3 linked regions of the Coturnix japonica genome follow. Each later gene encodes a partner of the first gene's protein in a complex. Links are inferred from orthologs where the notes say so. Each region holds a gene or a part of one and is shown in the gene's direction. Other genes may lie near its edges. The genes, in order: PARP1, SMYD2 and TIMELESS.

Region 1 (3,598 bases):
GTGAAAGATGCCAAAGTTCGTGTGGTCTCAGAGGAGTTTCTTAAGGATGTGAAATCTTCCAGCAAGAGCTTTCAGGAGCTTCTCTCTCTCCATGCCATTTCACCTTGGGGTGCAGAGGTGAAAACAGAGCACCAGGAGGTGGCGGTGGATGGGAAGTGCAGCAAGCCCCCAAATATGAAGAGTGCTGGGAAGATCAAAGAAGAACAAGGTGAAGAATGAAGTTGTTGTTTCTCCAGGGGCCTGTTTATTGCTCTGTGTGCACAAAGAAAATCTGGGTATAGTCCAGCCTCATCCTTTCCTAGAGTTCTCTCACTGTTTGGTTTTTTTCCCTCCCTCATAGTAAATTTTAAATAATGAAGATTTAGGTAAGATCAGGTTTTAGTGAGTATGAAGTTATCTCTTGACAGCTTCTGTCTCAGTGGCACTTTCAGAATCATAGAATCGTTAAGGTTGGAAAAGACCAGTAAGATCATGTAGTTCAACTGTCAGCTCATCACCACCATGCAGTAGTCTTCACAACTGCCACAGCAACCTTGCATTATTCATGCTGGAATGTGAATAAAACCATTAGATGTGCTCAACTTCTTTTTCCATAGCCCCCAAGCTTTTAGCTTGTGTTGTTCAGTTTTGTGTTATTGCCACACAAACAGTAGAAGGATCTGCGTGAGTACTGAATGTCCCACGTGCCCAGTGAAGTTTTAAAATCCCACTTCAATACAGCCACAAACGTGACCTTCTGTCATGTAGTTGGAAAAATGATATTGGGGTCAGGAGGAAGGAAGGTAGATGTTATCTGGGGAGATCTTGGTTTTCATTTCCTTGTGGGGGGAGGCAGCTGTGAATTAGCTGCTAAAGGCAGGTAGAAAGCCATTGAAGTGCTGGGGGTATTGTACTGGGAATCTGATTTGAAGTCTCATTAAGGTAATAATTATGCAAATTGGGAATTTATATCTTGAATCAAGTCAAACTGTATTGCCTTTGAAGGAAAAATAACTTCTTATCCCTGCAGGACCTAGCAAGTCTGAAAAGAAAATGAAGCTAACAGTTAAAGGTGGAGCAGCAGTAGATCCTGATTCTGGTAAGTGCAAACAATAGCACCAAAGTCTTCAGGATGCATGGCTTGTTTGCAGCATTCTTATTTTTATCTTTCTGTGGAAGTAAAAGGGTTTGCAGTCATTGATGTAAAAGTTAAGGGGGCTGTAAAAGGAAGCAGAATTCTTAAGATAGCTTTTCTCACTATCGAAAGAAGGCTATTGATTGACACTTTAAAGCTTGGATGATCTAGGATATTCCAGTGCATCTTTCAGGAGGTTCATTTAAACTAAGCTATATTCATTTTTCAGCTTCAGAAACATGTTGGAGGGGTGGATAAAGACTTAGGCAGCAGTGCCTGGCATAAGCGTTTGCCTCAGGACTCTTTGAGCAGAAGCAACTGATGCTGCTTTCCAAATTGATAATGTACAGGCATTGTCCTTAAAATTTGTACTGCTGTCCTTCGAATTTGTACTGCAACCAAGGCCAGCCTTCGTTTTTTTCAGTCTTTTTTTTAATGTGACACCTGTAAAGTTATGTCTCTCTTGAGAATTCTTCTAGCCAGTCACGCAGTGTTCAGTGCTAGACTCCTGGTTGCCCTTTCTCAAGTGTACAGTTTTTCTCAGGTCAGGGTTGAGGTTCATTCTAGTGCACCTGAAACCATGTACCTGCAATGTGTACAAAAGTAAGATTTTAATAGATTTTACTGAGCATGTTACCACTCTTCTTTCTGATATTTTGATAATTTTCTCGCAATTTTGAAACACTTTTGTGAACATGAATGTAGGAAAGAAACCTAAAATGGTAACCTCTGTATTCTAATTCTGTTCCTTCTTTGTAGGTTTGGAGGATTCTGCTCATGTCTTTGAAAAAGGTGGGAAGATTTTCAGTGCAACTCTTGGCCTGGTGGATATTGTGAAAGGAACAAATTCCTATTACAAACTGCAGCTGCTAGAGGATGACAGAGAGAGCAGGTGAGTTCAATTTTCCCCTGAAATGACTTTGTTTGCTTTTTTTCCTACTGAGTTCTGGAATTTTGGCTTCTACAAAAGGAAGAAATAAGTAAAATGTTGCTGTAAGGAGTTATGGATAGATAGATATGTTTGTTTTAAAAGGTGGGAGGAGCTAAGGGGGAGCTGTTGAATTGTTTGAATTCATTTGCGCATCGTGGGATGAGTGAGGTGCGTACAATGGATATTCAATTAACCTAGTCCTAAGAAGACAGGAGGGTCTCAGTGCTCTGTGACTGACAGCAGCCCATAAAAATACAGGAGATTTTTCTGTTTTAACATCCAGGAGCCCACTCATAAGGTCTGTGATGTCGGGAGTCTTCCCCATATTTGTTGTTTTTTTTTTCCCAAATACATGAACTGAAAAGTCTGAAGATGTGTGTTTGTAAAATATTGACTCAAGTGGTAATAGCCTCTTTTTTTCTTTCCCCTTTTCTCTCGTGCTGTGTGTGCAATCATCTTCAGAGCTGTACGTCTGGTGTGTTTACAGCAGGTGTTCTTTACACCTGTTATTGGACATAGATGCTGTGGTGGCTCTTCTGTTGCGTTCTTGCAGAATGTCTCCTTAAATTAACAACATGCAAATGGCTGATTCACAGTTGCAGAATCGGTTTCATTTGGGCTGAGGTCTATAGAGCCAGAACCTTTACATCTGCTTTTTTTTCTTGGGTTTCACTTCTTAGGTACTGGGTGTTCAGATCCTGGGGTCGTGTGGGCACTGTCATTGGGAGTAACAAGCTGGAGCAGATGCCATCAAAAGAAGATGCTGTTGAACATTTCCTAAATTTGTATGAAGAAAAAACTGGCAATTCTTGGCATTCAAAGAACTTCACCAAATATCCCAAAAAATTCTACCCACTGGAAATAGATTATGGACAGGTAACTGTTAAATGTCCCTATGCCAGGTAGAGCATTGCTCAGCTGCTTTCCTGTAACTCTTCTGTGCTCGTTGACACTTTAACAAACAAAGGGATGAAGTGCAGGGGTTTTGCTGCACAAATTATTATGGTAAGCACAGCAAGGAGACTGCAGGGGGGACAATTATTCTTGTTTACTCTGTGTAATCTTACAGAAGTTAATTTGAGATGAAGTAAGCAGTCATTTCACAAGCTCCCCATTTTGTTCTATTTAAAATTTCATCTATTTTCTGCATTCAAAATTCTCCCAAATGGTAAAATGAATCTTAATGCAGCCCAGTGCTCAGTGTGTATGTTGAGCAAGCTGATAAGGAGAAAATATTTGTTACCAGTAGGATTTGGCTATTTAGACAGCTATACTAAATAGGAATTCTATCCCTTCTACCCGGTGGGAGTTTATGTACTTGTATAAAGACATACCCATAACTTAGTCTATTTTTAGGTAACATAGCTGAATGCTGCTAATAGCTATAAAGACATCAGAGGTTTTGAAGCCATTGTATTTTTCTGTAGCCATGTTACTGGATGTCGTCTTTCAGTGTGAAGCAGTCCATGGTTAGCTTTCTTAATGGAAATTTGAATATTGCAGCAGGAAACTGTCTGTTATACTGCGGTGTGCAATGGCACTGAAGCATCTGG
Region 2 (3,598 bases), about 3.8 Mb from region 1:
TTTGTGGTGCTTTTTTCAAGCCTTCATTCTCTTGATTAGCATTTTGAGGTGTAATCCCTTAGATGTTGTGTCCTGAGCAGGCACAAGCATTCGACTGACAGTAGTTTGTAATCCTGCACGTTCCTTTGGATGTGGATTTGTTCTTCACTTTTTGAGATGTCATGTAGTTTCTCCATGAATACTGGTGAGATGTAAAGAAAACTATAAGCACATTGCTGCTCGTAACTTTTAAGTATGAGAATGTGATATAAATTGACCAGAATCTGAGTTAGTCTCCCTTTTTTCCTAGGTTAACTGCAATGGTTTCACGATTGAAGATGAAGAACTCTCTCATTTGGGATCAGCCATATTTCCTGAGTAGGTTGAGTTTAATAGTGAAAGAAATAATAAAAACAATTCATTTAAAAACAAACAAAGGTTCTTACATATGCTTAGAACTAGATCTGTATTGAAAGAAATTAAATCAAAGAATTAGTATTAATTTGTCATGTTTAAAATGTGCTAACTAATAAAATCTGCCAGTGATTTGCAGCAGTTCTGCTTATAAATCTGGTAAATGTGGTAAAATTGTACTTGGAAGATGTTTTGAAGTCCTGTAGCTCTGACTCTGAACTGTACACAGGTCGGTAGGAGACAGACTTACTTGGCTAGCAGGTTCTGGACAGGGACATCAAGTAATGATCAAAGCAAAATGAAAAGGATTGGAAGTGACTTGCTTTATCCACAGGTTTCTGCATTGCCTGGGTATTATGCTCCACCTGATGTTAGCAAAAAAACCCATCCCTTCTATCTTTGTTCCTTTGCAAACCATATATCTCTTTCATAACTTCTTTCAGCCTTTCAGCCTTTCAGATGTTTTAAAAACTGCCATGCTTTATGTTGTTACGACAGTGGGAAAAAAATATGTACAACCTCCTCAGCTTTACAAACAAACTGCAAATGTTAGTCATTAACTGCAGTCTGTTGACTGGGAAGTACAGCTCTCTGTGAGGCAGTCTAACTTTTTTCCCTTCAAGTCTCTGCTTCCCATTCTGCTTCTGTTCTTTGCAAACTCCACACTGCAAGTGCTAGCAATTTCCCCATGAGGTGTGGATTAGTAGTAATTATGTCAAAGCAATTTCAAATGTCCTGGTGCCCAGTTAGAGAAGGGCTTGATTTGCCGTATACAGGTCCTTGCTTCAGCAGGGCTGCACTGTGTATTTCTTATCCCTGAAGGCCGTGAAATCTCATCCAGGAACACAGTCATGGTGGGAATAGAGTATGAAACCAAGATCCTTTGGAACTGAGTGCAACACCATCCTTTGTAAATGCTCAGCATCTGAGCCACTATGAAAAGACATTTTTATTATTTCAATAGCTTCGAAGAGAAAGAATTAAGATTAAACGTTTTATCTTAAGTAAGCAGCATATTGCACTTCCAAGCTTGGTATCAGAGGAAAGCACTTTTCAGTAGCAGTCTTGAGGTTTTTTTGTGTAACATATGTGCTGGTATATCAAACAGAGATCTCCTTCACACTTTAAGGGTGGAGGCTGTTTATGTTTGCATAGAAGTGAGATAAATTCTTAACATTGATCTTAAATGTGTGCAGCAACTGTATTTGCTTGTTTCCTTGTACCTAAATGGGTTTCTCTTTCTTTCTCCTAAGAAGAAAATAGTCTGTTTCTTACAGATAGCGAAATATCTGGTTGCTATTAGTTAAGGTGTGCAAATAGCCTGTCAGCTATATTGTAGAGCTGTAAGAATGGGGAAATAATAACTTGCCTAGTCCGGCTATAATAAGATTTTAAAATCACAGTGATCCATTAAAATGGCCATTCTCCATATTGATAGGATAAATAAAAACACAACAGATTTTCCCCAGGCTACCTTCATATATTAAGCCTCACTAAGAACAGCTTGCAGAGGAAGGCTGACTCAGTCCTTTCAAGCTTGTTTGTTTTATGAAGTGTTGCTTAACTTTTTGCCTGTTGCTTTTGGTGGGAAGGGAGAAAAGTTCACTTTTCTGCCTTTACAGTGTTGCATTGATGAACCATAGCTGTTGCCCAAATGTGATTGTAACTTACAAAGGGACGCTGGCTGAAGTCAGAGCTGTGAAAGAGATTGAGCCTGGAGAAGAGGTGAGTACACTATGCTTGAATGTACTGCAGCGCTGTGTACGTGTGTCCTAAAACAGAATCCATCCCACTTTTCATTCTTTGTTCAGATTAGATGACAGTTTAATAATAAGGGGGGAAGAATCTCTTGTTTCTCAGAGAAGCCTGAGATGTAGCTTTAGAAAAGTTGGGGTGGTACTGGAGGACTGAAATGATTCTAGGAGGCGGTGTCCCATTTTGTGTTAAAACAAGGGATGGGCACCTGCATCAGTCACTGCACATCTGCCAGCCTCTGTCTCAGTTTATCTGTCTGTAAAAGGAGGCTTAGTTTGCTGATGTTTGGCTGGTGCTTTGAAATTCCAAGATCAAAGAAAATTATTACTGCCGTAATACTTCCCAGTATAATAGTAATGGAAGCGAAGCCAGAATAAACAAGGTAAATGGGAACAGATAAGTCCTCTAACTTCTGTTTCAATCCCATGTGTTGTGTGGATGCTCTGTCCAGTCGTATCACTCAGCAGAGTTTAGCTGTGGAATCACAAAAGAACCTGAGTATCTTTCTAATTGGAGCAAAGCTGAACAGTGATGGATAAATTAAGACCCTGGTAAACCTTCTCAGTCAAATAATGAACTTGGCAGCAGAGAATATTTTTACTTCAATAAAATTTTAAAAAATAATAACAAGTTCAATTAAAAATCTGTGTATTAGGCAGGCTTGGGGAAGTTGTTCATGTGTCTGCATGGGATGAAAATACTCTGAAGATGGAGTTTGCATGGAGATTCATTGTTAATGAATTGTTAATTCACGAATGTTAATTTAGCCTTTGAGGTTAATGCTGATTAAAACAAGTTCAGTTTTGATTTTGACAAGTCCAGCTGATTTCTGAAGTATGTAACAGAAATTCTGGTGAAGGAGACAGGGGTGGTTTTCCTGGATTGCAGCTGTTCACCATTATGAACCGAGTGACATCAGTTGCTGGGACAGGGTAATTCAGGTGACCACCTTCTCAATGTGCTGCTTATGGTCTCACTGCAGTGTTGGCAGTCACTGCAGATGCACTGTGGTAACGGACAGAGAGTTTTGCAATTTTCCCATTGAGTCCAGGCATTTTCAGCTTTTTTGGAGAGCAATTAGAAGGGGAAGTGAGGAGTATTTTACCTTACTGATGTCTTTTGGTTAAACAGTGTTTTCGAAGCTGCATCGGTTCTATAGGATCTCATTGCTTTTCTGCGGTCTCTATTCTGACATTTAAACGGACCGGTGATTTTACTTGGGCTCAGAGCAGTCTTACGGCCTGTGTCTCCACCTTCAGGTTCAACGTAGGCATTGCATCAGAAATTGAAGTGCTGTAAATGCTGCTCCTGCGTTTTGCATGCTTGGAAGGGAGGAGTGTGGGAGAAGCTGTGAGATCATAGAAAAAGATTGGGAGTGTACGTCACATCAAATTACACGTGCGTTTCGCTTTGAAATAACTGAAAATGAGGAAATGAAACTAAAAGTCTT
Region 3 (4,289 bases), on another chromosome or scaffold:
AAGGGGGTTAATGGGGAATTGGGAAGAGCACTGAGCCCATCTCCCCCCACAGCTGCACCCCAGTGTGGGTCCAGGTCAGGGCACGGTGGTGGAGCTGCTGCTGACGGCTCAGTTCATCCTCTGCGTCTTCGCCAGCTTCGATGAGCGCCATGATGGACGCCCCGGCTCCGCTGCGCTGCCCGTCGGCTTCTCCCTCGCCCTCGGACACCTCTTTGGGGTAAGGGGGGGTGGCAGCCCCATGGGGTAGGGGTGGGGGGCAGCATTCACCCACCACCCCCTCCTTGCCCGCAGATCCCATACACTGGTGCTGGTATGAACCCTGCACGCTCCTTTGCCCCCGCTGTCATCACCCGCAACTTCACCAACCACTGGGTAAGTGGGGGGGACCCTGCGGTCCAGCTCAGTCCATTCCAACCCATCATCCGACCTGTCCCAGTCCATCCCAATCAGCCTCAACCCACTGCAATCCCACCCAGTCCATCCCAGTATAACCCAGTCCATCCTATTCCTACCCCAGTCCATCCCAATCAGTCCACTGCAGCCCTATCCCAGTCCATCCCAGTCCCATCCCAGTTCTATCCCAGTACATCCCAGTCCATCCCATTCCTGCCCCAGTCCATCCCAATCAGCCTCAATCCACTGCAGTCCCACCCAGTGCATCCCAGTGCTATCCCAGTATAACCCAGTTTATCCTACTCCTGACCCAGTCCATCCCAATCAGTCCACTGCAGTCCTGTCCCAGTGCATCCCAGTCCCATCCCAGTTCTATCCCAGTATAACCCAGTCTATCCCATTCCTGCCCCAGTCCATCCCAATCAGCCTCAACCCACCGCAATCCCACCCAGTCCATCCCAGTCCATCCCAGTCCATCCCAGTCCATCCCATTCCTGCCCCAGTCCATCCCAATCAGACCACTGCAGCCCTATCCCAGTGCATCCCGGTCCCATCCCACTCCATCTCATCCCAACCCAATCCATCCCACTTCTGTCCCATTGCCCCCTATGCCCCCATCCCACCCACAACCCAACAGCCTGCAGCAGCCCCCAGTCATCCCCACCTTGGGGGGGGGGGGGGGGGGGCATCCCTTATCACCCCACTCAGTGATCCCTTTCCTCCCCACATTTTTTCCCCTTATCTCGGGTGGGTGGGGGGTCCCCTCGCCTCCCCCCCCCACGCCGCCCCGCTCCCCAATTCCCGTAAGGTTTGTTTCTGGGCGGTCCGTTGCTCGGTGCCGGGTTTGGCTGGCTTCTGTTTTTGTACGAGCTGGCGCTGTGTCCTCGGGCCGTCAGCATGGCTGAACGCCTGCCGTGCTGCGGGGGGAGCCCCCCCGTCACCGCGCCCCCCCGCCGAATCTGCTACCGGCTGAACGCTGGAGGCTGAAGACTCAGGGTCTATAGGGTCTATAGGGGCTATAGGGGCTATAGGGGCTATAGGGTCTATAGGGGCTATAGGGTCTATAGGGGCTATGGGGGCTATAGGGGTTATAGGGCCGCCCCCCCCCAACCCGGGGCCGCCTTTGCTGGTGTCGGGGCGTTGCGGTGCGTGTGTGTGCGGCGTCGGTGTGCGTGGGGGGAGTTGGCGGAGAGGTCGAACGGCCTCACCCCCCCCCGCAACAACCCCGGCCCCCCCCGCCGTGACCGAGCTTCTGTGTTCGGTGAAAATTAAACCTACGCTTAATTTTGTAACGGCTCTCGTGGGGGGGGGGGGGGATATGGGGGGTAATGGGGGTAATGGGGGTATGGGGGTAATGGGGTAATGGGGGGTAATGGGGGTGTTATGTTGTGTGGGTTGTGGATATGGGGGGGTAATGGGGGTATGGGGGGGTAATGGGGGTATGGGGGATATGGGGGTATATGGGGGGGTATATGGGGGATATGGGGGGCATATGGGGGTGAGAGATATGGGGGGTAAATGGGGGGGTAATGGGGTGAGGGGATGTGGAGGGGTAATGGGGGGGGAGGGATATGGGGGGTAAATGGGAGTAAATGGGGGGTATATGGGGGGGTAAATGGGGGGTATGGGGATATGGAGATTAATGGGGTATGGGGGTGGGGGTAATGGGGGGTTATGGAGGATATGGGGAGGGGGAATATGGGGGGTTAAATGGGGGTATGGGGGGATATGGGGGCTAATGGGGGTGGGGGGCAGAGCGCGGTGCGGTGACTTCCCGCGCCCCAGGCGATGTCCCGCCCACGGGGCGGGGCTACAGCGCAGCGTGAGCCTTTCTTAAAAGGGCAACGTCGAGGTGGGGCCATTGAGGGGAGCAGCGCGGTGCGGGGATAACGGGGGTGGGCGAGTGTTCACCGCAAGGGAGGGTGAGGGGGGAGAAGCGCGTTACGGTGCGTGGGTATTGTTTATAGTGGGCGGTGCGTGGAGGAAGGGGGGGGGGTGACCCGGTGGGTGCGGGCGTTGCCGCTTGAAGGCGTCGGGGGGGGGGGGGGGGGGGGGGGGGGGGGGGGGGGGGGGGGGGGGGGGGGGCGTGTTCTGACCGACCCCTCCCGTAGAGAGCGTGAAGGATTTGATCCGGTACCTGCGGCACGAGGATGAGAGTCGGGACGTGCGGCAGCAGCTGGGAGCGGCTCAGATCCTACAGAACGATCTGCTGCCTCTGCTCGTTCAATACCCGCAGGATCGGACCCTGTTCGATACCGTCATCAGGTACCGGGGTGTAGGGATGGGGGGGATGGTGCGGGGGCAGCATGGGCTGGGGTCCTGAATCCCACCCACACCCCTATAGGCTGATGGTGAACCTGACACAGCCAGCGCTGCTTTGCTTCGGTAAAGTGCCGTCAGACGCCACCGCCCGGCATCACTTCCTGCAGGTGCTGTCCTACCTGCAGGCGTATAAAGAGGTGAGGATGTGAGGATACAGCCATAGGGGGGGTCTTCAAATTCCCCCCCCCCCCCCCCGAACACGCACACATGGTGCTCATAAGGGGTTTTCTGCAGGCGTTCGCCAGTGAGAAGGTGTTTGGGGTGCTGAGCGAGAAGCTCTATGAAGTGCTGCAGCTGGTGGGTGCTGGAGGGATATGGGGCTGAGGGTCTGGGGCTGAGCTATGGGGCTAGGGAGGAGCTATGGGGCTGGGAGCCTGAGGGGGTGGCTATGGGGTTGAGGGCCTGGGGGGGTGGCAGTGGGGCTGAGAGCTGGGGTGGGGGGACAATGGGGCTGAGGGTCTGGGGCTGAGCTATGGGGCTAGGGGGGAGCTATGGGGCTGGGGACCCAGGGCTGTGGGGTTGAGGGCAGGGTGGGGGTGGCAGTAGGGCTGAGAGTTGGGGTAGGGGGGACAATGGGGCTGAGGGTCTGGGGCTGAGCTATGGGGCTAGGGGGGGAGCTCTGGGGCTGGGGGCCCAGGGGGGTGGCTGTGGGGTTGAGAGTCAGGGTGGAGGGACAATGGGGCTGAGGGTCTGGGGCTGAGCTATGGGGCTGGGGGGGATCTATGGGGCTGGGGGGGGATCTATGGGACGGGGTCCCGGGGAGGTGGCTGTGGGGTTGAGGGCCTGGGGGTTGGCAGTGGGGCTGAGAGTCGGTGGGGGGAGGGGGAGACAATGGGACTGAGGGTCTGGGGGGGAAGATAGGGAGCTGGGGGTCTGGGGGTGGAGCTGGGGGTCTGGGGGGGGGTCTGGGGTGGGCTATGGGGTTGCTGACAGCCATACATTGCAGGACTGGGAGCAGCGGCAGGAGGAGGACACGCTGCTGATCGAGCGGATCCTGCTGCTGGTGCGCAACGTGCTGCACGTGCCCCCCGACCCCGCTGAGGAGCAGGTATTGGGAAGGAGGGGGGGGGGGGGTACAGACACAGGGATCCCCACTGTAAGGTGCCCTACGTGCTGCCCACCCCCCTCTGTGCTGCCCCTCAGGGTGTGGATGGCGATGCCAGCGTGCACGACCGCGTGCTGTGGGCTCTGCATATCAGTGGCATGGATGACCTGCTCAAGTTCCTGGCCAGCGCGCCGACTGAGCAGCAATGGGCTCTGCACGTCCTTGAGATCATCTCCCTCATGTTCCGTGACCAGGTGAGCGTGGTGGGCACGGAGACCACCCCCAGCCCCCCATCCAGCTCTGTTGACACCCCCTAATCCCACCCTACAGAGCCCGGAGCAGCTGGCAGCGCTGGGACAGGGACGGGTGGGTGCAGAGTGTGGGGAGGACACACAGGAGCTGCAGAGTCTGAGGCAGCGGGAGCTGGCAGAGCACAGAGCACGGATGCTGCAGCGCCCAGCCAGGTGGGGAGGGGGCTGGAGGGGGGGTCAGGGCCCTGTCGTAAAGCCAACATGGCTCATCATGTGCA

What was found.
Region 2: the proteins of PARP1 (region 1) and SMYD2 are in contact, whole or in part, in a crystal structure (PDB 9CKC), measured with the Homo sapiens proteins. The link is inferred for Coturnix japonica from reciprocal best matches to the Homo sapiens genes PARP1 and SMYD2. Residues at the interface, in NP_001609.2 of Homo sapiens: Thr526, Leu527, Lys528, Gly529, Gly530, Ala531; in NP_064582.2 of Homo sapiens: Thr105, Leu108, Val179, Asn180, Cys181, Asn182, Gly183, Phe184, Thr185, Glu187, Leu191, Ser196, Ala203, Met205, Tyr240, Ile241, Asp242, Ser257, Tyr258, Asn380.
Region 3: the proteins of PARP1 (region 1) and TIMELESS are in contact, whole or in part, in a crystal structure (PDB 4XHU), measured with the Homo sapiens proteins. The link is inferred for Coturnix japonica from reciprocal best matches to the Homo sapiens genes PARP1 and TIMELESS. Residues at the interface, in NP_001609.2 of Homo sapiens: Gln846, Lys849, Pro850, Phe851, Leu854, Arg878, Ile879, Ala880, Pro882, Asn928, Lys940, Lys943, Gly944, His946, Tyr992, Asp993, Ile994, Ala995, Gln996; in NP_003911.2 of Homo sapiens: Asp1036, Gln1040, Pro1043, Val1045, Pro1046, Leu1047, Thr1048, Glu1049, Glu1052, Glu1053, Glu1056, Ser1074, Gly1075, Gln1076, Glu1077, Thr1078, Phe1079, Arg1081.

Annotation. Positions count from the first base shown.
Region 1 is NC_029518.1:14,826,167-14,829,764, forward strand, and holds part of PARP1 (poly [ADP-ribose] polymerase 1), read left to right. Parts: coding exon 1-208; intron 209-1,009; coding exon 1,010-1,078; intron 1,079-1,873; coding exon 1,874-2,006; intron 2,007-2,725; coding exon 2,726-2,921; intron 2,922-3,598. UniProt on the Homo sapiens protein: Poly-ADP-ribosyltransferase that mediates poly-ADP-ribosylation of proteins and plays a key role in DNA repair.
Region 2 is NC_029518.1:18,623,294-18,626,891, reverse strand, and holds part of SMYD2 (N-lysine methyltransferase SMYD2), read left to right. Parts: intron 1-289; coding exon 290-357; intron 358-2,015; coding exon 2,016-2,118; intron 2,119-3,598. UniProt on the Homo sapiens protein: Protein-lysine N-methyltransferase that methylates both histones and non-histone proteins, including p53/TP53 and RB1. Specifically trimethylates histone H3 'Lys-4' (H3K4me3) in vivo. The activity requires interaction with HSP90alpha.
Region 3 is NC_029544.1:1,738,030-1,742,318, forward strand, and holds the start of TIMELESS (protein timeless homolog), read left to right. Parts: upstream 1-1,465; coding exon 1,466-1,538; intron 1,539-2,504; coding exon 2,505-2,658; intron 2,659-2,737; coding exon 2,738-2,852; intron 2,853-2,949; coding exon 2,950-3,012; intron 3,013-3,661; coding exon 3,662-3,763; intron 3,764-3,858; coding exon 3,859-4,014; intron 4,015-4,090; coding exon 4,091-4,224; intron 4,225-4,289. Other genes in the region: lens fiber major intrinsic protein-like, read left to right, coding at 53-217, 292-681. UniProt on the Homo sapiens protein: Plays an important role in the control of DNA replication, maintenance of replication fork stability, maintenance of genome stability throughout normal DNA replication, DNA repair and in the regulation of the circadian clock.